7 linked regions of the Macaca fascicularis genome follow. The protein of the gene in region 3 interacts with the protein of the main gene of each other region in a pairwise test. Links are inferred from orthologs where the notes say so. Each region holds a gene or a part of one and is shown on either strand. Other genes may lie near its edges.

Region 1 (4,091 bases), on a different chromosome or scaffold from region 3:
AGCTGCAAGTCATTAAGGGCTGCTCCCGGCCTGCGGGTCACCATTTCCTGTTTAGAAGAAAGAATCATCTCTCCTTTGGAACATGAAGCTCCCCCCACCCCCAGCCTGACTCCGGGGCTCCGAAGCTCCGGGACGCCTCAGCTCCTCGCAGGAAACTGGCACCTCCAGCACCTTTTGTGTTCAAAAAGGACACTCATTTTCTCCTGGCCCCAGGAGGCCCCCAGTGGTGAGGTCACCACCGTTGGCCCAGCCGGCGGGGAGTGAATTACCCTAGCCCAGGACGCAAACTGACCGTCCCGCAGTCCTCGGAGCAGGAAGCTGAGTGACCCCTACCCTTTGGCCTGGCTTCTCACCCTCCTGGCTCCAGCCAGCCAATTTCCTTGCATCAAAGGCCATTTGGTACCCAGCAGCAAGACGGAGGTGTGGGACTGACAAGGAGGCCCGAGGGGGCCGGGAGCCCTTGGAAACAGGAAGGACATCCTCTGTCTCCTTGGTCGCATTCCACTCGCATGTGGGGGAAGCGGCCCCAAAAGACCTGCAGTGCTGGGGCAGCTTTGCAGCCTGCCTAGTTGATAAGACCCAGGAAGCCAGCTCTGTACCCCATGCGCCAAATCGGTTTCAAAATTCAAGAATGAGAAAGTAAACAAGAGCCACAGTGTATAGTGAAGAGCTCATATGGATGCTGCTGGCTCACCCAAACACCAGCAGACAGAACACCCAGGACTCCAAAGCCCTGTGACGTTTCCAAGGACAAGATTTAAGGCTGTGTCAGAAATATCTAAGCTTCAGGAATTCCTGTCTCCTCCTCCCCTACCAAAGACCTTTTAAAATACCCACTCCTCTATTACACCAGACTCTTTTCAATATATAAATTAACTGCTTTATTGAATATCAATAAACTGTACATATAACTATACAAAACGTTTCCTTGATACAAAATGTTTGAAATATAAATACCAGTGTACCTTTAAAAATGTAAACATCTTCCTCCCAGGCCCACCTGTCAGGCCCCCAAAATAGTTCTGGGAGACACATCGGTCAGACCAGAGCACCCCACTTGGGCCCCCGACAAGTGACAGCCATTACTCACAGTCCCTTTTGAGACACTGTTAAATTGCCCGGGAAACAGGTGCCACCCCACCAAACAGGAGGCTGAAATAGCTGCCCGGGCTTGGGGCATCTCAGACTCTAGTCTGCCACCGCCTCCGCAGGGCCCGGGGCTGCACCTGGGGGTGGATTATTGCATAGTTAGTCACACCTCGTGGAGGGTGGCCTGAGGGTTCCTTGTAGGGGGGTATGTGTGAGGGGAGTGGGGTCCCCTGAGTGGGGTGGGAGCTTCCCAGTGAGTCTGTCGGCTTTTGTCCCGTAGCTCAAAGCAGCTGTATCCAAACAGCTCTGGATACAAAAACCCATGCAGAAAGGCCAGCTCAGGAATCCCCCGGGGGCTGGGACTGCCAGCTGCCCTCTCTCCACAGAAAAGGCCACGGGAAGGCCTCCTCCAGAGCCCACTGAGGGACCCAGGCAGAGGAAACAGAACCAGAAAATGGTCTTCAAGGTCCTGTGGGGCTGATGCAGCCAGAAGTGGGGCACTCAGAAGGGAATTCCATGGCAGTGAGAAGGACGTGGGGTCGGTCCTTCCTGCTGGATTGGGGGAAGGCTGTCGGGCAGGGGGCAGGTATGGAGAGGAAGAGGGAGCCTCAAGGGTCAGCGGGGACATCCTGAGCAGCCAGACTCTTGGTGCTTGTGGAGCAGGGACATTCGGGAGAAGGTCCGAGCACACGCCTGGCATTGGTACTTCTTGACATCCGAGTGGGTCTGGAGGTGGGCCCGCAGGTTGGAGCGGTCAGCGAAGGCGCGACTGCAGTGGGGACAGGAGAAGGGCTTCTCGCCTGGGGAGAGAATGCCAGAAAGGCCGAATGAGCCGTGGGACAACAGCTGGCAGTGATGGGAATCCCTCCCCGCATACCCTAAACCCCGAAAGAATCCCACGATCCCAGGAAAGTCAGGACTCAAACACGCAGCCAGAGTCCAAAGGCTGGGACCTGACGGAGCTCTGCTGCTTCCCACTGTGCAACTCTGGGCAAGTTGTCTGGCTTCTCTGAGCCTCCATTTTTCCACCTGTAAAATCGGGCTATCCATCCCCCACTCATAGGGGTTGGTAAGTGACAGAAGGTAGGGCACAGTACTCATCCACATCCCGCAGAGATGTGCGAAGTGGTCAACGACGACCGAACATCTTTACTGATTCGTCCTACTGTCACTTATTGGGGCCAAAGCCAGAGTCAGCCTTAAGAGGCCTCCCCACCCCCACCTCCAAGCTGGTTAGGCCACTCCTGGGGCTGGGCCAGCAGCCTGCTTTCCTCACTACCCCACCTCTGGTGCTGTAATCCCAAATCTCCTTGTCTGTTCTCCAATCAGGCTGAGTCCCATAAGGGCAGGGGCCTTCTTTGAGTCCATTCTAAGCCCCAGCCCAGGGCCTGGGCCCCTTTCTAACACCGAAGAGGCTATAGAAACCTGTGCCTCTGACACACCATCTGCCTGGCCAAGGCTGTGTCGGAAAAAGTCTTGCATATGGAGCTGGGTACCCAGTAAGTCCTCAATAAGCCCTTAGAGAATAATTAAGTCTGCTTTAAAAATTAAAAAGGCCTCAGAGGAGTCTGCCCCTCACTCATGCCTTGTAATAATCCCTGCTCCAACCAAAAGGCTACAGTTCCAAAAACACCAATAATGCTGTTTGTTTTTTTCTGGGGGATGCAGCATTTTCCACATAAAAGGTCATAACAATAACTCATTAAACAAAAATCTATTGAAGCCGGGTGTGGTGGCTCACGCCAGTAATCCCATCACTCTGGGAGGCCGAGTGAGGCAGGAGGACTGCTTGAAGCCAGGAGTTTGAGACAAGCCTAGGCAATAAAGCCAGACCCTGTCTATAATTTTTTTTTTAAATCTATTGATCTCCTACTATGTGCTAGACACTACTCTATAATACTGAATAGTCTCTTTAAAAAATATGCAATTCTCCAATCCCCTCACGCCCAGCCTGACATGCCCGCGAGGCCAGGGCCTGTCTGTGAAATCCCAGCGCTGGATGGAATTTAAGAGCTGAGAGTGAATTCATTCCATCACCTCCTGGGTGCCTAGGGTGCTACACTGAGCTACCAGGGTAGGAGGGAGTCCAGAGAATGATTCCAATGGGACCCATGCATTCCATAGGGACTTATGGAGCACCTGAGAGCTGGACTCACTCTCATGGGGCAGAAATGGAAACTCGACACTCCAAAGGGTGGGGGACACAGAGGACTGGGGGAGGGGTGCCTGAGCACTACTCCACTCTGCCATTACTCAGCAGCCTCCCCACGCCAGGCCTGAAGCGTTTGCTGATTGCATTCTAAGTCTTCATGTGAATGAGAAGGGTAAGTTCACCCTTGTGAACTAAGGGCTGACTCTAGAGGTCTGGAAAAGGGGCTGGAGTCCATTTGTAAGACTGGAGTTACGATGGCACCCCCCTTCCCTTCCCAGGGCTGTTGGTGAAGTCCCGAGCACTACCTCCTGCACAGTAAGTGCTCTAAGTGTGATGAGACACAAACCCGAACAAAAGGGGAAGGAGACATTCTAGGACATGATGGGCTGGGGGCGGGGGCTGCACGCATATGCAGGAGGCACTGACCCCCACTCCTCAGATCCCTCGCCCCCCAGACGCCTTCATGGTACTCCTGGCAAGTGTGAAATCGGCACCAGGCCGGTGGGGACAAAGGGCGCCGAGGGGGGCACCGTACATGCGATACCCCCGGATTAAAGGGGCCTGCCACGCAGTGCGCCAGCAGCTGCGACTGGAACAGGTGCTGGGCACCCCTGCCCCATGCACCTGCTCCACCCCTCCCAGCCCCCACCCACTGGGCCCACCATTAAGGCACACAATGGGAGTCAATGAGGACCGAAATGATACATTTCAAGGGGATTTCTGTGCCTCAGCCATGCCTTTACATTAAAATAATGTCCGGATGGGAGGCGAGAGAGGCAGGCAGGAGAGCAGCATCCTGAGGGGTTCAAATCTCCCAAAATAGAGCCCTGTGAGCTGGGCAGGCACGGGG
Region 2 (4,527 bases), on a different chromosome or scaffold from region 3:
TCAATGAGGACACTGGATGATGGACCGTGGATTATGGACCGTGGGCAGTGATTATGTTAAGCTCTCTAACTTGGGGTATGTTTGAAAATCTCCGTAAGAGTAAAATTTTCAGGCCGGGCGTGGTGGCTCATGCCTGTAATCCCAGCACTTTGGGAGGCCGAGACAGGCGGATCACCAGGTCAGGAGATCGAGACCATCCCGGCTAACACAGTGAAACCCCGTCTCTACTAAAAATATAAAAAAAATTAGCTGGGCGAGGTGGCGGGCGCCTGTAGTCCCAGCTACTCGGGAGGCTGAGGCAGGAGAATGGCGTGAACCCGGGAGGCGGAGCTTGCAGTGAGCTGAGATCAAGCCATTGCACTCCAGCCTGGGTGACAGAGCGAGACTCTGTCTCAAAAAAAAAAAAAAAAAAAAGTAAAGTTTTCAAGTTGAACTCTAGAGAATAAAACTAACAACAGGGCCGGGCGCAGTGGCTCATGCCTGTGATCTCAGCACTTTGGGAGGCCAGGGCAGGTGGATCACTTGAGCTCAGGAGCGTGAAACCAGCCTGGACAACATGACAAAACCCTACCTCTACTAAAACTACAAAAATTAGCCAGGCGTGATGGCTCACGTCTGTAATCCCAGCATTTTGGGAGACTGAGGCGGGTAGATCACGAGGTCAGGAGTTCAAGATCAGCCTGGCCAAGATGGTGAATCTCTGTCTCTACTAAAAATACAAAAAATTAGCCGGGCGTGGTGGTGGGCACCTGTAATTCCAGCTACTCTGGACACTGAGGCAGAGAATTACTTCAACCCAGGAGAAGGAGGTTGCAGTAAGCTGAGACTATGCCACTGCACTCCAGCCTGGGCAACAAGAGTGAAACTCTATCTCCAAAAAAAAAAAAAAAAAAAGCAGGCACTGTGTCTCACGCCTGTAATCCCAGCACTTTGGGAGGCTGAGGTGGGCGGATCACAAGGTCAGGAGATTGAGACCATCCAGGCTAACACGGTGAAACCCCGTCTCTACTAAAAAGTACAAAAAAATTAGCCAGGTATGGTGGCAGGTGCCTGTAATCCCAGCTACTAGGGAGGCTGAGGCAGGAGAATTGTTTGAACCCGGGAGGCAGAGCTTGCAGTGAGCCGAGATTGCGCCACTGCACTCCAGCCTGGGCGACAGAGCAAGACTCCATCTCAAAAAATAAATAAATAAACAAGTAATAATAATACAAAAATTAGCTGGATGTGGTAGTGTGAGTCTGTACCCCAATTACTAGGGGCGCTAAGGCAGGAGATCAGTTGAGCCCAGGAGGTCCAGGCTGCAGTAAGCCAGGACTGCGCCACTGCACTCCAGCCTGGTTGACAAAGTAAGACCCTGTCTCAAAAAAAATTAAAACAACAACCAAACAAAAAAACAATGACGATAGGTTGGAGACCTATTCTCTTCCACATAAGCCTTGCACTGTTGCTCAGGCTGGAGTACAGTGGCTCCATTTCCGCTCACTGCAACCTTGGCCTCCTGGGTTCAACCAATTCTCCTGCCTCAGCCTCCTGAGTAGCTAGGACCACAGGTGCGCGCCACCACGACCAGTTGAATTTTGTGTTTTTAACAGAGATAGGGTTTCACCATGTTGACCAGCGTGGTCCTGAACTCCTGACCTCAGGTGATCTGCCCGCCTTGACTTCCCAAAGTGCTGGGATTACAGGCGTGGGCCACCGCACCCGGCCACCTTCTATGCTTCTTGATTTACCCCGGAACAAAGACGCAGACGCCTGAACACAGACACTGCTGTCACAAAGCATGCCTGCCCCAAGAAGCTGAGACAAAACTGCAAAGCAAAGGGAGGGCCACCCTGACCCGACCCTGTGTGCGTGCCCCTTACGCCCCAAGGTTGGCATCCTGATAACAAAGGGTTTTACCTGCAGTTCTCCTTGAAGCGGCACTTTCCCTCCAGGAAGAACGGGCACGGCTTCAGAGACTTGTGAGTGGGGTACAGGTAGAGCACACGGACACCCGCCGAACCATCCTCAGCCTCTTCCGCTCCCACCACCATGGCGTTGTGATACTCCAGAGTGCCCCATGAGCTGTAGTAGGGTGCGCTCACCTTTGTCCCACTCAGCTCTTCCTCGTCCTCTCCCTCTTCCTCCTCCTGCCCACCTGCTGCAGATTCGGGCCCCGCCTCTGCTTTAGGAACGGTCTCTGATCCGGACTCAGGGGCTGCTGCTGGCGCCTCCACCGCCTCAGTGATGGCCTCCCGGAAAGCCTGGTACTCAGCATCTTCCCGGCCCGTGCGCTCTTCGTCCAGCGCGGCCAGCAACTTGCTCTTCCTGACAGACACCAGGCTGGCCTCGGTGAGCTCGATGAGCTCCTTCAGGTCCCCCTGCAGCTGGCGCAGGTCCGCCTGCTCAGACGAATCCAGGCCGGCGCCCAGGGCCAGCTCCACCTGCTGCAGCTGCGCACGGTAGGTCTGCAAGGCCGACTCCAGGCTCTCCTCGTCCATGCTGAGAGAGGGAGGCGCTGGACCAGGGCTGCGAGAAGAGAAGCCAGGTGAGCCTCGCGTCTCGGGACCGGCCCCACAGACTGCGGGAGGGCACGGGCACGTCCCCTGTCCCTCGGGGAGACACCGGCTCAGAGGCACAGCTCCCAGCGCAGAGGTCGCAGACCGGGTACCCCCGCTCAGGCTCCGCGCTTCCCTTCCGAGCCGCCCTGGGCTCGCCGCTAGCCGGGTCCCGCGTCACTCCGGAGACCCCCTCCCCGCGGGGCGCCCCGCCGCCCGGCCCTCCGCCGAGCCCACCCGCCGCGCCCGCTGCCTTCCAGGCCGGCCCCGCCCCCGCGCCCGGCGTCTCTGCAGTCTGGCCAAGGCCGCGTCCCCGCAAACCGGGGTCCCCTCTCCCCGGGCAGGGAACCTCCCCCGCGCGGTTTCCCAGCCGCCGCCATAGAGAGCCCGCCGGCCTCACCGGCTAGAGCGGCCCGGCACCCCCCTTTCGTCCCCGCCGCCGACCAGCACTTCCTCCCGAGCGCCGCCACTTCCGGAAGTGCCTGGCGCGCGGGGGCAGCCGGGAAGCGGAGCGCGGAGGCCGCCGGGACGCGTTTCAGCTCCTTCCCTGAGGCCGGCTCTCGTCCCGTCAGGCGCCGCGCGGGGTTAGCGCGGGGTCAGCGGAGGTCAGCGGGGGTCAGCAGCGGCGGCTCCGAGGTCGCGGCGGTCGCAGGTAGGCCGCAGGCTATGCGGTGGGGCGCGAGGCCCGAGGGGCGGCCCAGAGCTGGAGGTGGGACGCAGGTGTGACAGGAACCAGCTTTGGCTGCTTGTCGGCGAGCCTCCAACCTGGCGGCCGCGGCATGGGGCGGCCGTAGCCGGGGTCCCCGACGCGGGTTCTTTCTCCGCGGGAGTCGTTCCCTGCCCGCCGCGCGCCGCCTCCGGGAGCAGCCGGGCCGCTGCGCACCCGCCCTGTAGTCCGCTTCCCGCTGGCCGTCCCCGTTTTAAGAAATGGGTTGATGGGGCGTCCCTGGGGAGCTCCTGGGGAGCGCGCCGGCGGCTCGCTGCTCCCGGGTGGGGCGCGGGGGCCCAGGCGGGGCTGCCGCGAGTGTGTTCCCCGTTCCGCGCGCGTGAAGCGTGGGAGCGAAACCTCGGGGGAGGGCGGGAGCGCAGCGGAGCTCACCGCGAACACCCGGCTGGGTGGTCCCGCGAGCAGGGGAGGGACCGGAGCCGCTGCGGGTTCGGAAAGGTCGCAGTCATTGCTGTGAGCGGAAGGACGGAGTGGCGGCCGGCCTGGGAGGAGTTGCAGGGGTGCGGTGGAGGAGGGAGAGTCGGGAATGGCCCCCAGGCTCTGGTCCTGAGCGGCCAGCTGGACGTGGGGCGCCCCTGACCACCGTGGAGAAGCCCGGGGGCGGGGAGCTGCGTTCCGGCTGCACACTGACACATGTTGGGGCGCCCAGGGCAGGATGTACACGCTGCTGTCGGGCTTGTACAAGTACATGTTTCAGAAGGACGAGTACTGCATCCTGATCCTGGGCCTGGACAATGCTGGGAAGACGGTGAGTGCCCACTCCCTTGCCCGCACCTTTCCCACGGCCGGGTGGCCCCCGCTTCGGTTTTGTGCTGTCAGCTGCATGTTCACTACCCAGATGGAATCCACATTTCACCTGAGACGACAGGATTGTCACCACCAGCTTCCTGAAGAGCAGAGTGTTGCTTTGTTTCTGTTTTTCTCTCTTAAGGAACAGGCCTGAGGAAGGATATTTGGGAAGCCAGTGTAGCCCCTACTTGATGTGTCTGCCTCTCCCTCTCTCCTCAGACCTTCCTGGAACAGTCAAAAACCCGGTTTAACAAGAACTACAAGGGAATGAGTCTATCCAAAATCACCACCACCGTGGGTCTAAACAGTAAGAGGTCTAAACAGTAAGGGGTCTAAACAGTAAGGGGTCTAAATAGCAGGCTGTGGGTTTGGGGCCTTGAGGATGCCGTGACGTTCACAGTCCAGCTGGCCCTTGGCCACAGCCCTGTCAGTCCCCTCTCAAGTCTCATTTGAGTGGCACCAGCATGGTTTGCT
Region 3 (4,753 bases):
AAGTGTGAGATTTTGATTCAGGTTGTCTGGGCTGAATCTCTTTTCACCACTTAGAAGGGCCTCAATTTCTTCGTCTGTAAAATGGACATAATAATCGGACATTTTTCCAGAAGGTTATTGTGAGATCTAGAAGAGTTAATCTACACATAATTAACTTATAAAAGTTAATTATGACACATAGTAAGGTGTCAATAAATGTTAGCTATGATTGTCATCAACAAATATTCAAAGAGCAAACGTACTTTGTTACATCATTCAGCTTTTCATTTTCTAGCTTTATCACTGTATTAATCACTTTATATTTTATGACTTTTAAAAGTTTATAAATGCGGAATATTTAAAAACACTGGTCCAGATAGTGTATGAGTCCTTATCCCTTTTTTGAAACGGACTTCATAGTCTGTTTCTCAGACTGATTTTCATACCCTGTGGATTGGAGCTAGGGGTGGCATAAAGCCTCCAAAGGAAGCCATTTGTGAAGTTACTCACCTCCTCCACAAAGGCAAGGGCAGGAGAAGAGTTTGGTTCCTTTGTCTGGCACTGTCTAGGGGCTATTTCACATGTTAATTCAGAGACACGCTGGAATGATCAGGTTGAATAGTAATAATGCCTCGAGTAGTTTTTCTGCTTTTTTGTTTGTTTGTTTTTTGAGATGGAGTCTTGCTCTGTTGCCCAGGTTGGAGTGCAGTGGTGAGATCTCGGCTCACTGCAACCTCCGCCTCCTGGGTTCAAGCTATTCTCCTGCCTCAGCCTCCCGAGTAGCTGGGACTACAGGTACCCACCACCATGCCCAGCTAATTTTTGTATTTTTAGTAGAGATGGGGTTTCATCATATTGGCCAGGCTGGTCTCGAACTCCTGACCTTGTGATCTACCTGCCTCGGCCTCCCGAAGTGCTCGGATTACAGGCATGAGCCACCGCGCTTGGCCCTGCCTGGAGTAGTTTTATTCCAGCTTAAGCAACATCCGCCCAAATTTGATTTACAAACATCAACAGATCATCTGTCAGTGTTAAGTACGTTACTCTCGGAGTCCTTCAGTGGCGTTGCCGCTTTCCTTACCTCTTCATGGTTTTTCTTAAGGCAAAGGAGATCTTCCTTCAGAGACTCCACATGGGCCTCCACATCAGATTTGCACAGGGTCAGCTCATCCAGGATCCCATGCAGGCCACTGATGTCTGCCTCTAATAGCTGGCGAAAGGACAGTTCACTCTCGTACCTTTCACGGCAAAAGAGAAATCCAATGCTTACTTTGCTGAACGCTGTGCAAAGTGTGGGGATACGTGGAGGATCGACACATGGACTTCAGGAAGCCACATGCATAATTTCTCTTAATTCCTAAGTAATGATAAATTCAAGCTTTTAAAACATTCTTGACTTTAAAATATTATATAGAGAATATTTGTGGGGGTGTGTGTGTGTGAGAGAGAGAGAGATTAAGAGAGAGAGAGAGAGCGAGCCATAAATTATTTTCAAATTAAAATTAAGGCAGGGTGTGGTGGCTCATGCCTGTAATCCCAGCACTTTGGGAGGCCGAGGCAGGTGGATCACCTGAGGTCAGGAGTTCAAGACCAGCCTGGTCCACATGGTGAAACCCCATCTCTACTGAAAATACAAAAATTAGCTGGGTGTGGGTGGCGGCGCACGCCTGCCTGTAATCCCGGCTACTCAGGAGGCTGAGGCAGGAGAATCGCTTGAACCCAGGAAGCAGAGGTTGCAGTGAGCCGAGATAGCGCCATTGCACTCTAGCCTGGGCGACAAGAGTGAAACTCCTCAAAATAAGTAAATTAAATTAAATTAAATTAAATTAAATTAAATTAAATTAAACTTACTTTGACTTAAAGTCATCAGTGGCCAGTTTGCAGTTGTCAAGCTGTACAGCAAGTCTAGAATTCTCTGCTTTCGTGCATAAGATCTGGGAAGCAAGCCATTATGTGACAAATGATTCTTTGAGAGAAACCTAAATAAACTTCTATCCAACAGCTGTGCCATTAGTTATCTTTTGAAAGTCTTTATAAGAAAGTATAAAATCACCCTCAGCCTGCTTTTCTTATTGACCTTGTCGCTTCATGAAGAAAAAAGCAGTGCCAATTTAGAAGCAAAATAGAGAAATAAAAAGGTTTAGTTTTTTAATAACATAAGACACTTTGCAACATCCCTAGGCAGTTGAACACCATTAACGTTTTCTCCATCAGTAGTTTGTATTATGACTCTATCCTCTCCCATAATAATAGAAATTCATCAAGGAGACAAGCAAATGATTACTAGGTGGTTAAAAAGATGGCATTTGACGATTTGTGTTCAGATAATATAAATGTTCAGTGTCAAATACAAAAGCGATTTTGGATGTAATACAGTTTTTCTGCATTCTATAGATGATGAAGGAAAAGCCTAAGGGCGAGTTACTTTATTATAGTCACTCAGTTATCAGGGGTAGTTCTGGCGCTGGTGCTGAGGTTTTCTGACTTTCAGTCCAGTGGTCTCCCCTATGTACCATTAACTCCTGGAATTCCCCTTTCCCTTGGTTGCCTTCTGGAAAACCGTCCCTCTGGTAGAAAGATAAAGCAAGTCATAGATCCGGAAGGTGGAGCACTAGGGCAACAGGACACACACCTTTTGTTGGAGATCTTCAATGGTGTTGAAGTAACACTGATAATCCGGGCACACCATTGGGATATCCTGTTCACATTGTTCTTGGATCCTGGATTCCAGCTCTGCGTTGGTCTCCTCCAGGCTGCGCACCTTCTCCAGATAGTTGGCAAGTCTGTCATTCAGGAACTGCATCGTCTCCTTCTCATTGCTAGTGAACACCCCATCCTCACACCAGGCACAGTTCCCCACCAAGCAGGGACTGTTACAACTCCCAGTAAAGTAGCATGGCAGGAGGCAACCAGTCAGCCCGCGAGACCTGGATAGGAAGCTTGGAGTCTGACATCGGGATGTAGCACAGGCACCGGGGAGACAAGCTGTTTCTATGCAACAGCTTGAGGCAGGTGCACAACCGGAGGCCGTGGTACAGGATTCAGGAGAGCAGTGTGTGGAGGAACAGTCAGAAGTCATCCTTCCAGAAGCAAAGACAGAGGCTGGCTGCAAAACTTCAGTTGCCTTGACTCCAAAACTCTCCTTCCCTCCTGAGAGTTTTATAACGCCCCAAAATGGGTGTTTACAGACTGCACCGGATGTTTTCTTTATCACTGATGGTGCCAGTTTTCATACAAACATCTCATTAGAGTTGTTTATTTACTGAGGAAGAGTTTTATGCCTCATAAAAGAGGGATAACTTTAGGTTACCGAAGCAGGACCTACACCATTTCCATGTGCCAGACAAAACACTTATTTCAGAAAATTGTCATAGGAAACATTGTCCTTTTGACAGAATAAGAAAAGAAAGAGAAAATTTGGCCAATCAATAATTATAGATACAACTCATTACAAATCAGGAAAATAACATGTCCACAGATTTTGATTCTGTGCATTGATTGCTTGGGTCCCCTTTTAAAATTAGTATTACAGCTCATAAAATGACATTTATTTGTTTGTGCCACCACCATAAAAATGGTCAGTGTGATTAGCAATCTTTCAATGCTTTTTGTGTTCTCAGAGTATGTGCTGACAAGACTGGAGGAGTGAGCTATATATTGGACTTAATGTGTGTGTGTGTGTTTGTGTGTGTGTATACAAACATGTCTACCTGCGTACAAATGGAAAAGTCACTTTACGTAACTGATAGGAATAACTTGTTTTTCTGCAGGCTAAAATATAAATTGGTTAGAGCTGGAATTATGATCTTTGATTTTCTGAAACTTGCCTTCTCCCCATTTCTCATTTCTTGTTATTAGATAAGTTACACTATTTTACGTGTATTTCTAATGAGAGTGAAATATAAATTGTAAGTTATAACCTTTTAGTCCCTTGGGAATTCCTCAATGATTATACTTCAGAGTAGGGACAAGGAACCCACAGGAGTCTTTTCTTCTGAGATGTACAGCCTGTTTTCTCCTATTTATTTATTTATGAAGGCCTGAATTTCATGAAAATTAAAACTGCTGGAACTTGCAAAATAAAATTTTATTTAGGTTCCAAATCAGTGATTCCACTGGATGAAATCTCTGGTGCCAAATCTGACAGATAGGAACTTGAGATGTGTAACTTTTTTGGATTCTGTCTTGGATTTCAGCTCCATTATGAAGCATAATCTGTTTCACTTTGCTTGGTTTTAGTCGTTATGTTTATTTCATTTTCAAAGGTGCATAGAGAAAATTGCCTGTAGAATTTTTGAGAACATTATAGGAAAAGAAAACACAGTAATCTGAAAAAGTTAAAAATTTTTTGATCCAGAATAAACTTATTTTTTCCCCTAATCCTGAGGGCTACTTCCTAGGTAGCTGATAATAGAAACCAAACCAGAAGAACATATGTAAGTGAGTTAAAATAGTCTCTGAGGATTTATTACTCCCTGGGCAGAGTTAGGTTTGAATTTAGTGATTCTCTTTACACATCAACACTTATGCAAAAAGTTCTTAGAGTGTCTCATGGTATATTGACGCTGCTCTGCAACAAATATGAGTTCAAGGATTCAAAAACACTTCTGAAAAATTACAAATCTCTGAAAGAAAATTATCTTTTCACAGTAACCTAATGAGTCAAAAGAAAAGTATCTTTGAAGAAAACCCACGTTTTGGTTGTCCATCACAGGTTCCAGTTAGCTAAAGCGCAGTCATGTAACTGCAGGTAAAATAAGAAATATTTCCTTTT
Region 4 (3,957 bases), on a different chromosome or scaffold from region 3:
ACACCGTTGTACACCTTATCCTCTTTTCCCATACTCAAGGAAGATTATCTCCAACTCTTGTTTTAACACTCATGTGCTTACTTCAAATATTTCTGCACTAAAGCTGTAATATTACAAGTTTGTTTCCCTATTAGAGGTTTCCATTTCCAAACATTTATCTTTTACTTGAAAGGACACCATATTTTGCACCTAATCCCTCAATTTTATTGGTGGGGAGGGCATAAGAGAAGTTCACTGCATACAATCTAAGGTCTAAGATCCCCCAAAATTTCCAGCAGGAAAAAGATCTCTGGGCTTAGAATACTCTAGAATACTTGAAATTCCTTACACAGAGAGACTACAATTCCACAATCTTCTTCCAAGACATATTCTCCATAGAACTCTTTCTGTGTTGGGTCCAGATCACTCCACTGGTCCTGGGAAAAGCATACGGCCACATCCTTGAACGTTACCAGTCCCTGAAACCACATAAGGATTTCATCAAAATGTGACGCTACAGGTAGCCTCGCATTTTGTACCTGTTGAAAGTCACACAATAGGAAGACTCCATCTTGGAGATGAAAGGAGCTCAAGTGGCGGGCTGCTTAAACTCATTCTCAGGGGAGCTATGTGTCCTCTAGCGTCCTGCACTGGCCCTGCCCCCTCCAACGCCATCACTTTCCCTGAGGACCAGCTTATGTTCTTCTTAAGGTACTGTTTAAAGGTCTTAAAAATCATCATCCCTACTTGACACTTTAATGCTACATACATTTCTGCAAAATTTATCTTTTCTAGTCAACTTTCCTGAACGACTCTAATCACTTTCAATAGTTTCTACACTCTATAGGCAAAACAAGACTTTTTTCCTCAGTTAGATTACAATCTAAAACCATACATGAATTCTATTTCTTATCCTCCAGCCACATGGCTTAGTTTCAGGGCTTTGATCATGGTGAATACTTGCTAAATGTCTCAGCAGTACAGTCTGTCATACTTACAAATGACTATCAGATGTATTCCTTAAAAAAAACCTAAAAAACCCTCATTTGACAACTTCGAAGTTGTACTGGAGTGTTACAAAATAATCTCATTTTGTTAGCTTTTCTAGTCAACGGCAAATAAACAGGCGTTGGCGCCTATGGATCCAATAGAGGGTATGATAATTTGTCTCATTATCTCCTCCCCTTTCTCCTCCCCTTCCAGGCATCTGCAGAACTGTGAGCTTAAAACTGGCAAGAGTGTAAATGTGTATCCTGCTTCGCCTGTTTAGTATGGCTAATGCCCAGTGGTTCTTCAAACAAACTCTCTGTGGTACAGAGGTAATTAGGGCACACCTGTGATAGAGCAGTAAGAAGAGCAACCATCTCTGAGTCTCCAGAGCTCCTCTCTGCGGGAAGGTCTGGCTCCTGGGGCACTGGGACCTCTATGAAGAAAAGGCGGCAAAGATCAGTAATATGCAGCGTGCCCCAATAATGGACAAAAATCTAGGCATCCCCCACCATCTTTGGTAAGAAGGTGGCCCTATCCTTCTTATTATGGGAACCAAGACACAGGCCTAAGGGTAGCTCCCATATCCCACACCCATCACCTATAAGACCATCAGAATGCCAAGAGAACAAGCAACGATCTGCTATCTAAGCTTGGCCGTGTTTTTAGGGGACTCTAGCTGGTGGTTCTGTCTCCTCTTGACATCCTGGATTCTGTGATTTCTTTCCATGCAGTCTACCCAGCTCCCTTGGTACAGGAGAACAGCCCCCTCCTTGCCTGCCTTCTGCCACAATCCCCCCTTTCTGCTGAGGCTTCCCACCGCTCTCCTGCAGGGACTGGAGCTCCTCTTCCTGGTGCAGACGCTGCTCTGCTGGTGCCCCCCGATCTGGGCTCTGTGTGGTTTCCTCAGGAGACTGCCGGGGGGTCGAGCTTTGCACAGGATCCTGTAGCTCACTAGGTGACTCAGGCTCCGCTCCTAAATGCACCGTCTCCTCTGACAGGACTTCCTGGCCGTGAACATGGACAGTCACCTGGGAATAATTCCAACTTCCAGTCACCATGGAGTCAGGAGGAAGTTCTTGGTTGTCATGGGAGCTTATTTTAGGAGAAGATGTCTAGAGAAAACACTCCCAGAGGGACCCAGACAAGGAGGGGAAACTCCAGTTCCAACTCAGCAGGCAAGGAGGAGCTGAAGCTTATCCTCCCCAGAACGAGGCAGGGGATGCGCAGGTCTGCAATGCTCTCTCACCACCCCCAGCTTTGGAACCCGTCACCCAAGGCTCCTTCCCATCTCCACCTGTCCCACCTGTAGCTCTCCTTGCTGCCTGCTTCCCTAGCTGACCAGCCAGGAAGGGGGATCTGTGACTGGGGATCTATGAGAACCTTTGAGGAAGTCACAAAATTCTTCTCTCCAGGAACCCAAGGCTCAACATTCAAAGAAGGGAAAACCAAAGCCATGACCCTTTGGTGGCTGAGACCCCTCAGACGGTCCCTACACAGGTGTTCCAAAATCCAGAAAGTCACATTCATACACACACATCCCCCTAATCCGTGGGGCTCATGGATCTATGAGCAACCCGAGGGCAGAGCCCACTAATAATTTATGGGGATCCTGCAAGCCCTCCCCCAAATCCAGCCTTCCAGCAAATAGTCCCCCTCCACATCACACAGATCAGGACTCCCCCTCCTCACCCACCGCCTTGGTCTCCTGGGTTGTTTCTGCAAACCCTCCACCAGCGTCACCGCCTCCTCGCCACTTTCTGGCCGTTGGCCCCGCACCCAGCTCTGTAGTTCTCCGGGCAGGACGGTAAGAAATTGTTCCAGTACAAGCAGCTCTAGAATCTGCTCCTTTGTCCGCCTCTCTGGTCTCAGCCACTGGTGACAAAGTTCTCGGAGTCTGATGAGAGCTTCTCTAGGGCTTGCGGCTTCCTGATAGCGGAAGCGCCGGAAGTTCTGGTGGGAGGTCTCCAGCACTGGGTCATCCCTCTGTAAGACAGACTCTGGCCTACAGGTGAAATCATCTTCCAGTTTCACCATCAGAATTCCCTCTTCTTCCCAAAGATCCTGGTCCTCTGGTTCCATGGCTGTAGCCATTTCTTGGCTTTGGGGTGGTCTCACACCATCTAGAGCTCACACTGTCATTAGACCCCAGCCTCAGCCTGGACACAGCGAGGATTTTCTGCCAAGGGCCCTGGATAGAGAAGTAAAGACAAACAAGAGTATAAGCATGAAACTACACACAAGGACAACAGTCTGAGTTCAATCATAATCCCCTATACAAACTTCTTCAAATGGTTAAATCCTCTTTTCCCCAACCTCCACAACCATAAATCAACACATCCAGTTGGGAGAGGACAATCCACAACTAAAGGTGTGGTCCTCTATCCCCCTTCCTAGGCAAGGTTCATACTCCAAGAGAAAATACTGCATTTCCACTTCATGAACACTGCCAATTCCATCTCTCAAGACTCCAAATCGGCTCCCTCCTCTTCCTTCCTACAGACCGCTTTAGTTTCAGGCTTCATCATCTGCTGCCTGGACTCTGCTCTAACTTCCTGAGATCCCTGCAGTACTCAACTATGAGCAAAGTGCAACAGAATTACCTGTGGAGGTTTTGCAAAACACAGTATCACACATTTTTCAGACACTCTGATTCAGTCAATCCAGGTAACTGTATGTTTAGAGATGCTACATGCAGTTCAAAAGTGTATCCATGGTTGAGAAACACCAACCATGAGGGAGGTGTGTAAGGTTATGAGCGAAAGTTCTGAAGCCAAGCTACCTGTGTTTGAATCCTGGCTCTATCGCTTACTAGGTATTTCCAGAGTGAGACCATAGGCAAGTTCTCATTCTCCTTATGCTGGTTTCTCTGTCTATAGAAGGGAGATAATAATGGTTTTCATCTAATAAATTTACTATAAGGATTAAATGTATTACTATCTTTGCTTAGAAGAGTGATGGCACCAGCGGTTGTCTTCCTAAATTATGGTT
Region 5 (4,385 bases), on a different chromosome or scaffold from region 3:
GTGGAACAGTCAAGAAATAGTGCTGATGGAATTATAAATACTTCCTATCAATACATGGAGGGAAGGCCAAAGAAGTTCACAATCAGATAAGAACTATAGAGTGCCGTTTTCAAAAATGTTTCACAGAACATCAATTCCATGAAATTATCTGAGAAAAAAAAGAGGTGAGGGACATTAAACATTAAGTTTCTTTACTGCATGTCTTTAAAATTTTAAAGTGCATTATGAACTCCCAAGAGAGGATATAGTATGCAGGGTTCCCAAATCTACTCGTTCACAGGAATCCTCCCACTTCACTCTTTTTAAAATTTCTTTTTGTCTTGGAGATTTCTTATGATGCGTACTTTATACTTCACCCTTTCATAAGTTCTGGGACAGGAAAAGACTTAAGACATGTCACAGAACTGTATCCCTAACTATAGATTTTTCTCTGGTGTCTCCAAAATGTGCCTGTTGTGTGTTTCTCAGATTACTTGAGAGCTAAATGAATATTTTGTATTCAAATCGAAATTCACAAAGCCAAGTCATTTTCATAGAAATTCTCAAAATTTTCTCCCCGACCCTCTAAACTATCCAAGTGAATCAATAAACCAGTTCATGAGAGGAAATTGCAGCTATTTTATATGCTTTTTTAAAATCAATGTTCAATTATAATCAGATTACAAAAGGAATCACATTGCCACATCTCCTTCTGGCTGGCGCTGTAAGCCAGGCGTCCTTGGTTCTCAGTAATCCCTGTTCTGCTGACAGGCACGGAGCTGGGCCTCTAGTACTATCTGATCAAGGGAGCTGTTGGGAGGCGCTCTCTCTTCTCTCCTGGAGGCCTGAGGGAGCTTCTGGAACTCCTGGAAGTTTGGGTCTTTCCCTTGGGTAATGTGCCGCACCCTCTGCTCCTTTTTCTTAATGGCCTCCTTGATGCCTTCAATGTGGCACTTTTCCTCCTTCTCGGCTTTCAGTTTCAGGATGTGGTGGTTTTTCTCCCTCAGGTGGTTGAGCTCCCGGAGGTGCTGCACCTTGTCCCTAGTGGTCTTGTGCACGTGATTCCTGGCCTGTCGGATCTTCTCATCTGCCAGCTCCACCAGAATCCTTTTGCGCATCTTCCTCTGCTCCTCTGACTCCCCTGCACGCCACCTGGCCTGCTGCAACTGCTCTTCCTCCTTCTGGGCCTTCTCCCTCAGCTCGCGGTGCCGCTCCTTCATCAGGCCCTGGTGTATCTCTTGGGACCGCTGGAAACTTTGTTCCAGGGACAGCTGCCTAAGGAGCTCCTCAGCCTTGGCCTGGCAGTCCATGAGGACCTTCCGGGCCTGGTAATTGATGAGAGAGCTCAGGTTGGTGTCCTGGACCTTCTTCTGTCCCTCCACGGCATGCAGATGCCTCTTGCGACAGGCCTCCACCAGCCTCCTCTGTAGCTGCAGGGTGTGTTGCTCCCGGAGGTTCCGTTGCATCTTCTCCTGCTCCCGCAGGCGCCGCACCTGGCACTGCTTTCGGTGCTCTGCCTGGGCGCGCGCCTTCTCCAGCTTCTCCTGGCGCGGGCTCTCCTGGTCCTCAGTTTGTTCCTTCCACCGGCTTTCCCCCGGGGTCACGTTCTTCCTCTGGCTGTCCCGCCGCCGGCAGCGCTGCTCAGGGCTTTGGAGGGTCTTGCGCTGCTCCTTCTCCTGCCACTGCTCCTGGCTCTGCTGCAGCAGCAGCCGGCGTTCCCGCTCCAAGGTCATCTGGACCTTCTGATCCGAGCGCTTCAACTCCTCCCAGGCCTCAGCCGCCTGCTGCTGCAGCTCCCGCATCCTCTGGGCCTTCTTGAGACGGGTCAACACGAGGGCCACAATCTGCTGGTCCTGGGAGGACACCACTGCCTCTTCCAGCTTGCTCTTCAGGACCTGGGTGTGGGGGCTCCGCATCTCTTTGCTAGAGGCCGAGGGCTGGGAGTCCCGGCTTGCTAATGACTCAACCTGGTCGCTGCTGTCTCTCTTCTGGGCGCACCCGCAGGCTGAGTGCCTCCTGAACTTTTGGGAGGGCACAGAAGACCGCTCCGAGGGAACTGAGGAAGCGGACCAGCGACCTAGATGTCTGCCGAGCGGCACTGCCCACTGGTCTCCACCCTGTGCCTTTTCTACCCTGAATGTGCCACTCAGGGGAGTGCCAGCTCCTCCGGAGTAAGGCGGGGGCGAGTCTCCCTGGGCCAGTGGGTAATGCGGGCAGGGCTGCGGCCGCTGGGGTGGCAGCTGGGTCTGCGGCTGCCAAGCTGGGCGGGGCTTGGTTCCTGTCTCTCCCCAGGCATCTTCTAGGCGCCTGCTGCGGAGCCCGTGCTTCCTGGAGCGGTCCAGGGGCCTGCGGACCACATCGCTCAGGCTTCGGCTGCCCCGCGGTGAGTCTGAGCACCCGCGCCTGCGAGGCCGCGGCGTGAACGAACAGTGCGGGTGCAGCCAGCACGCCCCAGCTTCGCTCTCCGCACCCGGAGTCTCGGCCCGGGAGCACGCGGGGGAGTTGGCTCCGGACCTCTGCCCGCCCAGCCGCTGCGTGGACTCTCGCTCTCCGCCGGGCCGCGGGGGTTCCCAGAGGTCCCGGTAGGGCGGCTGGGAGAAGTGGCTGAAGCCTGCCATCCCTCCCTCTGGGCACGCGCAGAGTCTGCGCAAGGGGTCTGAGACCTCCAGAGGACGCTGCAGACACCCGCCCCGCCCCCCGGTCCCGAAGTCGGGGTCGCCTGTGACGCTCCGGCCACTTCACAATGCGCCTGGCAGCTGGGTCCCCGCAGTCTTCAGCCCTTGCCCGGCGCCGCCCACCCCAGTTTTGCTAGCACTCGGAGCACCTGGAATGGGAAGGACAGGAGGCTGGAGATGGGGGTGGTGGGGGTCGGGTGGGGGAGAAAGGGGTTGCAGGTTGGAGGAGGGAATATGTGGGAAATCAGGATGATATTTAAAGATGAGGGTGCATAGTGTCCCCCCACCAGTGTTTCAGGGAGAAATTTGAACTCGCATTTGCACACAAACAGCAGGATTTTAAGAGAGCCCGGGTGAAGGCGTCACCCTCAGAATAAAAAGGGTGGGGAGAAGGGCCAAGGTGCAGTTTCAGGGAGGAGATACCCTCAGCTGCAGAACCACCGTCCTGCACGTGTGTACCTCTGCAACGTGGTCAAATAGAGCGGCTGTGGACGCACATTAATATGCGACACCATCCATTTGCCGTTTTAAATTAGCAAGCCCAAAGTATGCTTTAATGTTAACTTTTAAAGATTTTTAGAAAAGGAAGACAACGACTCTATTTTCTAATATGGTAATTACTGCTTTTGTCAAAATATGAATGCTGCGTGCACATTTCTGAAATAGCATCAGTGAACACCATGTTGAAATCACATTTTTCCCCCTTTTCCTCGAATTTTGTGGGATTCTTGTTCCTTGTTGAGGCACCCTTGGCTAATGGGAAAAACACTGGATCTGGTAGAGAAAAAGAATTTGAATCTCCTCTACCACTCTTCACTCATGGGCTCTTGGGCAAATCCCTTAAGTTTCCATGACCTCCAGTTCCAGCAAGATGGAGTGGGAAGCCGGGCTCATCTTACCAGCATTGCAGGACTGTTGTGAGGATCAGACGAAATGATGCATCCAGAGGTTGGCACCAGAATACATTCAATAAATATCATTTTGGTGCCATGCTAAGCGTCAGTTAAAAGTTTTAAGAATTGGGTTGGGTGGTGGTTCATGCCTGTAATCCTAGCATGTGGGGAAGGCAAGGCAGGAGGATCCCTTGAGCCCAGGACTTAGACCAGTCTGGGCAACATAGAGAGACTCTGCCTCTATATAAACATTTTAAAAATTAGCTAAACATGTGTGTGCATTTATAGTCCCAGCTATTCCGGAGGCTGAGGTGGAAGGATTGCTTGAGTCCAGGAATTTGAGGCTGCAGTGAGCCATGATTATGTCACTGCACCCCAGTCTGGGCAACAGAGTGAGACTTTGTCTCAAAAACAAAGTGTTAAGACTTAAAGTAATATATGAATTTACAAATATTTCTGCAGATTTCTAGCTTAAGGAAATAATGCAATTAATGTAATCTTAAAATAGTTTAAGTAAAGGATAGAGTGCTAGAAAGGGGTGACTCCAAGCTCTGTCATGTTCACATCATACTGTGGATCCTGGCTAAGTCACTTCCCTTCCCTGGGGTTGCTATGGTCTGAAGGTTTGTGTTTCCCCCAAATTCTTAAGTTAAAATTCTAACCCTTAAGGTGATGGTATTAGGAGGTGGGACCTTTGGGAGGTGATTAGGTCATACAGGTGGAGCCCTCATCAGTGGGATTAGTGCCCTTATAAAAGGAGTCCCAGAGAACTCCCTCATCCCTTCTGTCATGTGAGGACACAGTGAAAAGATGGCCATCTCTGAACCAGGGAGACGAT
Region 6 (4,500 bases), on a different chromosome or scaffold from region 3:
GTGGTGGGGATCTGGACTGAGAGATGTGGGTTCGAATCCCAGCTCTATCACTTCCAGCTGTGGGGACTTGGACAAGCCACTCCCTGCCTCCTGGGTTCCCACTGACAGGCATGTTAGAGCCCAGACTCTGACTCCAGGTGGCCAGGGTTCAAATCGCAGCTGCCACCTGCTTGCTTCGTGAACCTAGCAAGTGACTTCATCCTCAGTTTGTCTGTGAAATGGGGATAAATAACAGGACCTGTCTCCTGGGGTCACTGTGGCGATGAAATAAATCAATTCCTGGAGTCTTGCCATATGGGAAATACTAAATGAATGCTACCCTCTGCTATTGTTATTATTATATTTTTGAGATGGAGTTTCACTCTTGTCGCCCAGGCTGGAGTGCAATGGCGTGATCTCGGCTGACTGCAACCTCCACCTCCCAGGTTCAAGTGATTCTTCTGCCTCAGCCTCCCAAGTAGCTGGGATTACAAGCATGCACCACCACGCCCAGTTAATTTTTTGTATTTTTAGTAGAGACGGGGTTTCACTATGTTGGCCAGGCTAATCTCGAGCTCCTGACCTCAAGTGATCTGCCCGCCTCAACCTCCCAAAATGCTGGGATTACAGGCGTGAGCCACCGCACCCGGCCCCTCTGCTATCATTTTTATCATACTTTTATATGTATAAATGTAGACTATGATACATATTTTACTATCCTCTGGGTTTTTTTGTTTTTTGTTTTGTTTTTGAGACGGAGTCTTGCTCTGTTGCCCAGGCTGGAGTGCAGTGGCGCGATCTTGGCTCACTGCAAGCTCTGCCTCCCGGGTTTACGCCATTCTCCTGCCTCAGCCTCCTGAGTAGCTGGGACTACAGGCGCCTGCCACTACGCCTGGCTAATTGTTGTTGTTGTTGTTGTTTTGTATTTTTAGTAGAGATGGGGTTTCACCATGTTAGCCAGGATGGTCTTAATCTCCTGACCTCGTGATCTGCCCGCTTTGGCCTCCCAAAGTGCTGGGATTACAGGCGTGAGCCACCGCGCCTGGCCTTTTTTTTTTTTTTGAGACAGAGTTTCGCTCTTGTTGCCCAGGCTGGAGTGCAATGGCGTGATCTTGGCTCACTGCAACCTCTGCCTTCCAGGTTCAAGCGATTCTCCTGCCTCGGCCTCCCGAGTAGCTGGGATTACAGGCATGCGCCACCATGCCCAGCTAATTTTGTATTTTTTAGTAGAGACAGGTTTCTCCATGTTGGTCAGGCTGGTCTCGAACTCCCGACCTCAGGTGATCCGCCCGCCTCAGCCTCCCAAAGTGTTGGGATCGCAGGCGTGAGCCATGGCGCCAGGCCTATTATACTGTAACAGCCCTACACTGAGCCTTTCAGGCAGGCGAAATCCACAGTGTTCCCATCACCAAAGCTTTCGAAGAAGCAAAGTAGCCATGATGCACCTGTGCTTCAAAGCCATTCATTCATTCATTCATTCATTCATTCATTCATTCATTCATTCAACACAAAGGTTCCCTTCCCCTCCCTCTCTCTCCTCCCCAATCCCCTGCTCATCCCAGCCTTTCTAGAGACTGACACTAACAACCCTTCCCCACCTCCCAGCCTTTGCTCATGCCATTCCCTCCCACACCCTAAGGCCCCTGCCTTTCTTTCCCTTTCCCCTCCCAGGGCTCACTCCTCTCCATCCTTTAAGACTTGGTACCTCCTCCTCCAGGAAGTCTTCTCTGATCTCTGCCCCCCCACGATGGCCATAATCCTGACTCCTTTCATTGCCTAGTTTCATGGCTGTCCGCCTTTGAATACAATCAGCGCATAATGAGCGCCTACTGTTTGCAGGCTCCCTGGCCGGACAAACGATAGAGAGGTGAAAAAGTGATATTGGGTGATGAGTTACAGACCGACAATGCCTGGTCCCTCCTGTTTCAGAGAAGTGTCAGTCACCATGAACCGGTCGGGTCCCCCCTCTTGCTGTCCCTCCCGTGACCCGGTCCTTTGCGAGGGGAGGGGACAGGTTACCTGGGCATCCAGATCGTTACTTAGTTCTTGGCCATCTTTTTGCTTTACCCCTGCGGGGGAGAGTGCGTATAAGAGAAGGGCCCTTGAAGGGTCTGTGGGAGTTCCAGGCCACCCAGAGCCGCGATGCAGAGCCTCCCCGAGGCTGGGACCTCCGGGGGAGGTGATCTCAACGCCTCTCCCTAGACCACGCCCCCTCGGCGCTCCCACGCGCGGTCTCCGCACCAGGCCCGGGACCCCAGCAGCCTCACCGTACACGATGGAGCGCCCAACTCCTGTGTGGTCGCTGCCGAATTTCCTCATCAGAGCCCCCGCCTTCTTGGAGGATACCTTCCCATGAAACTTCTCCCGGAGGCGCCGGACGCTCTTCTCCAGCTGGGATGGGGACAGGGGGGTTCCGGTGGGCGAAGGGGAAGCGCGATCGTCCCTCCCCCATCTCTAGGCACCGTTCTCCCGGCCTGAACTTGACCCTTGGTTTTGGCCTCCGCCGCCCCCCCTTTCATCCCTCTACGGCATTTCCTGGAAAAAGCCAAAGTCCCCACATGGCGCTGGGGGAGGGCGCGGACTGAGGCGAGCGTCCCAGCCTAAGGTGGGGGGGCGGCCAGGTTATCTCTGGCCTCTGACCTTTGACCCTGCAGCCCCCGCTTTTCCTCGGAGAGGCCTCATTTCGCTCTGGGGAAACGTGGGAGTCACTTTCCTTTTCAAGGGGGGTGAGCGCCAGGCAGGGGTAAAGATCTGGGGTTCTAGGATGGGGGTCCCCAGGAACTGCGAAGCCCCCTCCGCGCCTCTCGGCCGCTCCTCGGAGTCTGTCGCGTCTGCCCCCGGCCCAGCCGTAGCCATCTCTTACCTCCACACCTTCCTGAGACATGGTGGCGGCGGCGCAGGTCCCCGCGAGGGTCCGCACTGCGCGGTTCAGCCGCCCCCCTACCTGGGCGCGCCCGTCGGTCCAGCAGCCGCGCAGGGCAGGGGGCGGTGCCTCGGGGCCGGCTCCGCCCTTCCTCCCCAGCCCCTGTTTCGCTTTCGATTCAGGGGGGACCGGGCGCGCTGGCTCCGCCCTGGCTCCGCCTCTGCTCTTGCGCCCCAAACCCAGGCGGTCGCCCCGGGTCTGCACCCTGCGGCGGAGCGCGCAGACCTCGGGCGGGGGAGGCGGCGCGGCCTCTGCAGTCGGTCACATGTCCCCACGCTGCGCGGGGTCCGCGTCTTCACGTCCCTCGTGGGGGCGGGGCCGCATCGGAAGGCCGCGGCGAGGCCCCGCGCCCCCCCACCCAGCGCGCGCTCCCCCAGTTCATCACCCTCCTCTCTGTCCTCCCTCCTTCCCCGGGAATCTGGCGCTCATGAGGACCTGGGCGCTTTTCCTGCCCTGAGTCTCTGTCCTAGCTAGGGTCACCTCTCTGAACCTCAGTTTACCCCTCTGTGAAATGGGGAGGATCCTGGTGTCTACACCATGGAGTGGAGTATATGCCAAGATTCCCGAGTGGATCGCGTAATAGCGCCTGGCTTGCAGTAGGCACTCAACTAGTCACTGGGCCACCTGCTGTGTGCCCTTGATAGGGGCAGGCAGTGTGTGTGTGGTTGTGGGGAGCGGTGCTTGAGAAAAACACAGATTCTTGGTCTCTCGTTGCCCGGTAGAATCCGGCTGTCTCAGGGATCCAGGGAATCTGCAATGGTTAAGAACCCCGTGGGCTGGACAGTTCTAACCCAGTACAGGGCGCATCAGGGAGCCGTTAGGTGGTGGGGCTCTGGCCCAGCCTGGGGACACAGAGATGGCTACTTCATTGGAGGAGGGGATGCTTTGTACAGTCACTGAAATTGGAGGTCTTAGCTCGGGGACGAATAGAGTGGGGAGTTGAGGCAGCCGTGCAGAGCCCCCAAAACAAGACTAAGTCTGGGGCTTTCGGGCAAGGGCTTCTCAAGCCCAGCACTCTTGACACTTTGGGCTGCCTGGTTCTTTGTGTGGGGGACTGTTCTGTGTGTTGGGGGACATTTAACAGCATCCCTGGCCACTGCCTGCTAGATGCCAGTGGCTCCTCACTCTCCCTGTTGTGACTACAAAAAATGTCTCCAGAGACTGCCAGATACTCTCTGAGGGGCAAAATAGCATTGTGTTCAACGACTCTAAATTTTTTTCTCCATTGCACACCTCTATAGGTAAAACTGTTAAAATTACACCCCCAGATGGATATTTATTTATTTATTTATCTTTTGAGACAAGGTTTTGCTCTGTTGCCCAGGCTGGAATGCAGTGGTTTGAATACGGCTCACTGCAGCCTCGAACTCCTGGACTCAAACAATCCTCCTACCTCAGCCTCCTAAGTATCTGGGATTACTGGCATATGCCACTATGCCTGGTTAATTTTCAATTTTTTTTTTTTTTTTTTTTTTTTTTTTTTTTTTGTAGAGACGGGGTCTCACTATGTTGCACAGGCTGGTCTCAAACTCCTGGCCTCAAAGATGGATTTTTTAAAAAAATTTATTTATTTGTATTTATTTATTTATTTATTTTTT
Region 7 (4,043 bases), on a different chromosome or scaffold from region 3:
TTCTGACCCACGCAGACACAGAGGCACGTGGAGCTTTTTCCTTCTGGCCCCCCAATCCATACTCATAGGCCTTGTAGGATAGAGGCTGTCATGCATGAACTGCTCCCATGTGGCCTAAGGGCAGCAGGATGGAGAGCTGGCAGTTGGGTGCCCTAGTGCTAACAATGCAGGATAAGGTTAGCTTGCTTAGCATGGAATCCAACAGAAAGCTGAGCTGCATGATGATCCCTTTCAAAAGGCTTCATGGGAGTCTCTCCTTTTGCAGAGCATGAAATGAGCTTTTTTAAAAAATAATAATAATAAAGGATTGATCATCCACAGGCTTCATGATAAACTGTCCCAGGCTGAGTTTTAATAGCTCATTAGCTATCCAAGATTAATACCTGATTTTCTTGTCTTTTCATTTGAATACTTTTTATTTCGCTTTTAGGACCATAAAGCTCAGGAAGGGTTCATAACCCCATCCTTAAATGTGTCTACTCAATGTAGTATGAGCAAACTAGAAAAGCGAAAGAGGATGGCATCTCCAATGTCCTCTTTTCAATCAACTCAAATCAAGAAAATTTCACACAAGTTTTCTGCTGCCATTAAAAATTATGATTTTTCCAATATGAATATTCTGAATATTTGTTCTCCTTGGGAGGCTCTGCCCCACTTTTTGCTAAGTATTTGCTTAAATACAGGTCCTCTGACCCTTTTGTTCAAGTATAGTTTAGTTTTAAAGAGGAGACTGCATCATGAACCCAATTTAAGAGATTGTTTGTATTGAATTGGCCCAGTGAATATTTTGCCCTGCACTGTTATGTCATGCTGGGTTCTATGAAGTGAATGAAAGTTTGACACTGGCACTGGAGTAACCCTCATCACTCCCAATACTCGGCAGGCTGCTGTGGTCATCAATGTCACTGATGCTGGTGGTACTTATATTGTCCACTTCTCCATGGGAGAACTCTGTGCTTTCAACATCCACTTCAATCTCCTCTGCCAAAGGAAAAAAAAAAAAAAAAAGAACATTAATAATCAAGTATAGCACACCTTCAAAAACTAACGGCATGAGGAAAAGAGGTATAAGAAATGTTAATACAACAAGCCTATTATCAGTGATCCCTGGAGAACAGAGGAACTGAAGGTGAAGAGACAGGAATATTTTTTTGCCAAGGGGAATGTCTGACATACAGTGGTGGTCTGAATTTAGGCAGCAAATTTACTAAATCCTTTGACGCCAGTTCGTCTGGACCTCCCACTAAAACCACTTGGCGTATTTGGGAATTAGTGCTTAATATTAAAAGGTCCTAACCCCCAAGTGGTTTAAAAACATCTGTTTTGCATTAAACCACAAACTAATTCTCAGTTCTGTTTATTAATCAGGGTTGCCTTAAATGGTGGGCAGGAGCATAAACTTAATATAGGCAAACTAGAAAATTTACCCATCCAGGCCTTTGTTGGTGCCATTCTACAGATAGTTCAACACACTTCTAGGATTCATCATAAAGATCTTCAACTAGTCAGTCAAACAAGTCATAATAAAGTAGAGTTTGAGGGATATGTCTTAGATTTAACTTTCTTGCATCAAATATAGCTTGAAATAAGGGCCTGAGACTTAAAAGTCTTCAGATTATAGTGAGATCCATTTTGGTGGTAGTATACAGACTTAAAAACCAAACATTAAAAAATAAATAAATAAATAAATATTTGACTCAGCTATCAATAGATAATGTTGCTGGATGCAGTGTCTGTAATCCCAGCACTCTGGGAGGCTAAGGCAGGAGGATCGCTTGAGCGCAGGAGTTTGAGACAAGCCTGGGTAACAAAGTGAGACCCCATTTCTACCAAAAAAAAAAAAAAAAAACCCCACAAAAATTAGCTGGGTACAGTGGGTGAGCCAGTAGTTCCAGCTACTCGGGAGGCTAAGGTGAGAGGATCACTCTTGAGCCCAGGAAGTTGAGGCTGCAGTGTGCCCACGTCTCATCACTGCACTTCAGCCTATATGACAGAGTGAGACCCTGTCTCTTACAAATAAAAAAAAATCTTAATTGTTAAATACTAGATATTCAATCACCAATAATATACATAAAGCAATACACGTTAAAAACAAAAAGGAGTTAAAAAGTTGTTTTCTCCCATCAGAGCTAGAGTGAACCCAGGATTTTTCAGTTACCTTAAAACAAATTCAAAGCCTGATGTTTCTTTCACATTTGGCACTGACTTTAAGGGGTCACACTAATCACAACTGCTTTAAAAAAAAAAAAAAAGTGGATTCAGCCAGGTGCGGCCAGCACTTTGAGAGGCCGAGGGAGGTGGATCACGACATCAGGAGTTCAAGACCAGCCTGACCAATTTGGTGAAACCCTGTGTCTACTAAAAATACAAAAATTAGGCGGGCATGGTGGCACGCGCCTGTAATCTCAGCTACTTGGGAGGCTGATGCAGCAGAATCACTTGAACCTGGGAGGCAGAGATTGCAGGGAGCCAAGATCGCGCCACTGCACTCCAGCCTGGGAGACACAGCGAGACTCTGTCTCAAAAGAAAACAAAAAGTGGATTCTTGTGAGGCCAAAAGGACAGGGTGAAGCTATTTCCAGGAATATACTTTTCAAAAGGGCTTGTTGCTTCAAAAGTTTTAGAGATTCTAGAGTTGTGTTTTTAAAATGTAGGCAGCTATCCAAATAATCTATTAATTCATATATTTGCTCTATATCCATATTGCTTCAGAAACCATCTTTCCCCACACCACTGAACATTCATCCAACCTACAACTAGAAGATAATAACAAGGCACACTATTCAAAAGAGCATGCTGAACTCAGTCAAAACAAAGTAAAATGATGGCCAGCACAGCGGCTCACACCTGTAATCCCAGCACTTTGGGAGGCCAAGGCAGGAGAATTGCTTGAAGCCCAGGAGTTTGAGACCACTTGGGCAACAAGGCCTATCTCTATTTTAATAAAATTTAAAAATGTTTTAAAAATTTAAAAAAAAAAATGAGAAACTGCTTTAGCCAAGTGTACCAGAGATGTTAACTAAAAGCCCCTGTAACACTACAAAAAGGAGGTTGCCAGCTCAGGATAAGGATGGTACTTGGTAAGGTACTACTAAAGTAAGGTACACTGGGAACACTAAAAAAAAATATGAGAGCTATAGTGATGAAATACACCCTCCTCTCTGAAATTTGGAGGTAGTTGGGGTGGGTACAAGGAGGAGGTAACAGGAAGGACAGCTAAAACCTAAAGACCTAAGAAGAGGTTTCCACTAGTTAGCAATAGAGGAAAGACCAGGACACCAAAGTCTGGGTTATTTCTGCTATACCTAATTCAGGGTTATTTCTGCTATACTTCACTGTTATAAATGCAGCATGTCCTTCAGGTTCTTGCTACTGCCTCTGGTAGACTTTTCTTGAAAACTGAGTGCCACACAAAAATAAACTTTTACATAGAAAAATAACAGAACAGAAAAACAAGAACTCCTAGGGTTGTGTTAAAAAGGATGAAGAAACTATTTGAAAGGCTCCTACTCACCAAATCTGGGACAGTTTGAGCATTCAAAAGAATTTAAAAGGATGACTGCAATGGATTGGAACACATTCGGTACAGCAAAACGTGAGTTCATGATATAATCAAAAACCAGTAAAACCAAAACTTGTTACTTCTGGAAGTTGCTATGGTACCAGCTCTGTTTGGGAAACTGATAAAGCAAAAAACAAGACCAAGCATTTATCCCACCTTCCCTGTATGAACTTTATTTCAGGATAACGGAAAAGTTGAGAAAATGTTTATAGAAGAAAAACAGTTAATAAGTACATGAGGAATGACACAATTAGAAAACCACTATTTTATGTCACCTCAATGAAATAAGGGCAATAATTGCTAAAACTATTAAGTTAAAGGCTGATACATTTATATAAATGTATTAAAATGACCTTACCTGAACCTACTGATTAATATTAAAAGTGCAACAACTAGACACAATACTGACTTAACAGGAAGTACAAAGCACCACCTATGAAGTATTCTGCATCTACCAACTAGTTTACAGTAAACATAAAGG

Evidence for each region.
Region 1: the proteins of KRT40 (region 3) and SNAI1 interact in binary tests that used the Homo sapiens proteins (3 or more experiments, as listed by UniProt). The two-hybrid records come from large-scale screens. The link is inferred for Macaca fascicularis from reciprocal best matches to the Homo sapiens genes KRT40 and SNAI1.
Region 2: the proteins of KRT40 (region 3) and ZGPAT interact in binary tests that used the Homo sapiens proteins (3 or more experiments, as listed by UniProt). The two-hybrid records come from large-scale screens. The link is inferred for Macaca fascicularis from reciprocal best matches to the Homo sapiens genes KRT40 and ZGPAT.
Region 4: the proteins of KRT40 (region 3) and ZNF202 interact in binary tests that used the Homo sapiens proteins (3 or more experiments, as listed by UniProt). The two-hybrid records come from large-scale screens. The link is inferred for Macaca fascicularis from reciprocal best matches to the Homo sapiens genes KRT40 and ZNF202.
Region 5: the proteins of KRT40 (region 3) and CCDC185 interact in binary tests that used the Homo sapiens proteins (3 or more experiments, as listed by UniProt). The two-hybrid records come from large-scale screens. The link is inferred for Macaca fascicularis from reciprocal best matches to the Homo sapiens genes KRT40 and CCDC185.
Region 6: the proteins of KRT40 (region 3) and SHFL interact in binary tests that used the Homo sapiens proteins (3 or more experiments, as listed by UniProt). The two-hybrid records come from large-scale screens. The link is inferred for Macaca fascicularis from reciprocal best matches to the Homo sapiens genes KRT40 and SHFL.
Region 7: the proteins of KRT40 (region 3) and MXI1 interact in binary tests that used the Homo sapiens proteins (3 or more experiments, as listed by UniProt). The two-hybrid records come from large-scale screens. The link is inferred for Macaca fascicularis from reciprocal best matches to the Homo sapiens genes KRT40 and MXI1.

Annotation. Positions count from the first base shown.
Region 1 is NC_088384.1:106,071,588-106,075,678, reverse strand, and holds the end of SNAI1 (zinc finger protein SNAI1), read right to left. Parts: intron 1,890-4,091; coding exon 1,705-1,889; 3' UTR 858-1,704; downstream 1-857. UniProt on the Homo sapiens protein: Involved in induction of the epithelial to mesenchymal transition (EMT), formation and maintenance of embryonic mesoderm, growth arrest, survival and cell migration.
Region 2 is NC_088384.1:119,823,664-119,828,190, reverse strand, and holds the start of ZGPAT (zinc finger CCCH-type with G patch domain-containing protein), read right to left. Parts: upstream 3,018-4,527; 5' UTR 2,938-3,017; intron 2,509-2,937; 5' UTR 2,481-2,508; coding exon 1,900-2,480; intron 1-1,899. Other genes in the region: ARFRP1 (ADP-ribosylation factor-related protein 1), read left to right, coding at 3,204-3,257, 3,914-4,012, 4,273-4,360. UniProt on the Homo sapiens protein: Transcription repressor that specifically binds the 5'-GGAG[GA]A[GA]A-3' consensus sequence. Represses transcription by recruiting the chromatin multiprotein complex NuRD to target promoters.
Region 3 is NC_088390.1:62,067,671-62,072,423, forward strand, and holds the start of KRT40 (keratin, type I cytoskeletal 40), read right to left. Parts: upstream 3,113-4,753; 5' UTR 3,059-3,112; coding exon 2,612-3,058; intron 1,914-2,611; coding exon 1,831-1,913; intron 1,218-1,830; coding exon 1,061-1,217; intron 1-1,060. UniProt on the Homo sapiens protein: May play a role in late hair differentiation.
Region 4 is NC_088388.1:122,522,491-122,526,447, forward strand, and holds part of ZNF202 (zinc finger protein 202), read right to left. Parts: intron 3,158-3,957; 5' UTR 3,061-3,157; coding exon 2,659-3,060; intron 1,998-2,658; coding exon 1,787-1,997; intron 1,403-1,786; coding exon 1,314-1,402; intron 459-1,313; coding exon 329-458; intron 1-328. UniProt on the Homo sapiens protein: Transcriptional repressor that binds to elements found predominantly in genes that participate in lipid metabolism.
Region 5 is NC_088375.1:81,409,698-81,414,082, reverse strand, and holds CCDC185 (coiled-coil domain-containing protein 185), read right to left. Parts: upstream 2,625-4,385; 5' UTR 2,598-2,624; coding exon 726-2,597; 3' UTR 599-725; downstream 1-598.
Region 6 is NC_088393.1:10,631,425-10,635,924, reverse strand, and holds the start of SHFL (shiftless antiviral inhibitor of ribosomal frameshifting protein), read right to left. Parts: upstream 2,975-4,500; 5' UTR 2,864-2,974; coding exon 2,843-2,863; intron 2,371-2,842; coding exon 2,247-2,370; intron 2,049-2,246; coding exon 1,999-2,048; intron 1,824-1,998; coding exon of another isoform or gene 1,685-1,823; intron 1-1,684.
Region 7 is NC_088383.1:119,355,991-119,360,033, reverse strand, and holds part of MXI1 (max-interacting protein 1), read right to left. Parts: intron 982-4,043; coding exon 818-981; 3' UTR 1-817. UniProt on the Homo sapiens protein: Transcriptional repressor. MXI1 binds with MAX to form a sequence-specific DNA-binding protein complex which recognizes the core sequence 5'-CAC[GA]TG-3'. MXI1 thus antagonizes MYC transcriptional activity by competing for MAX.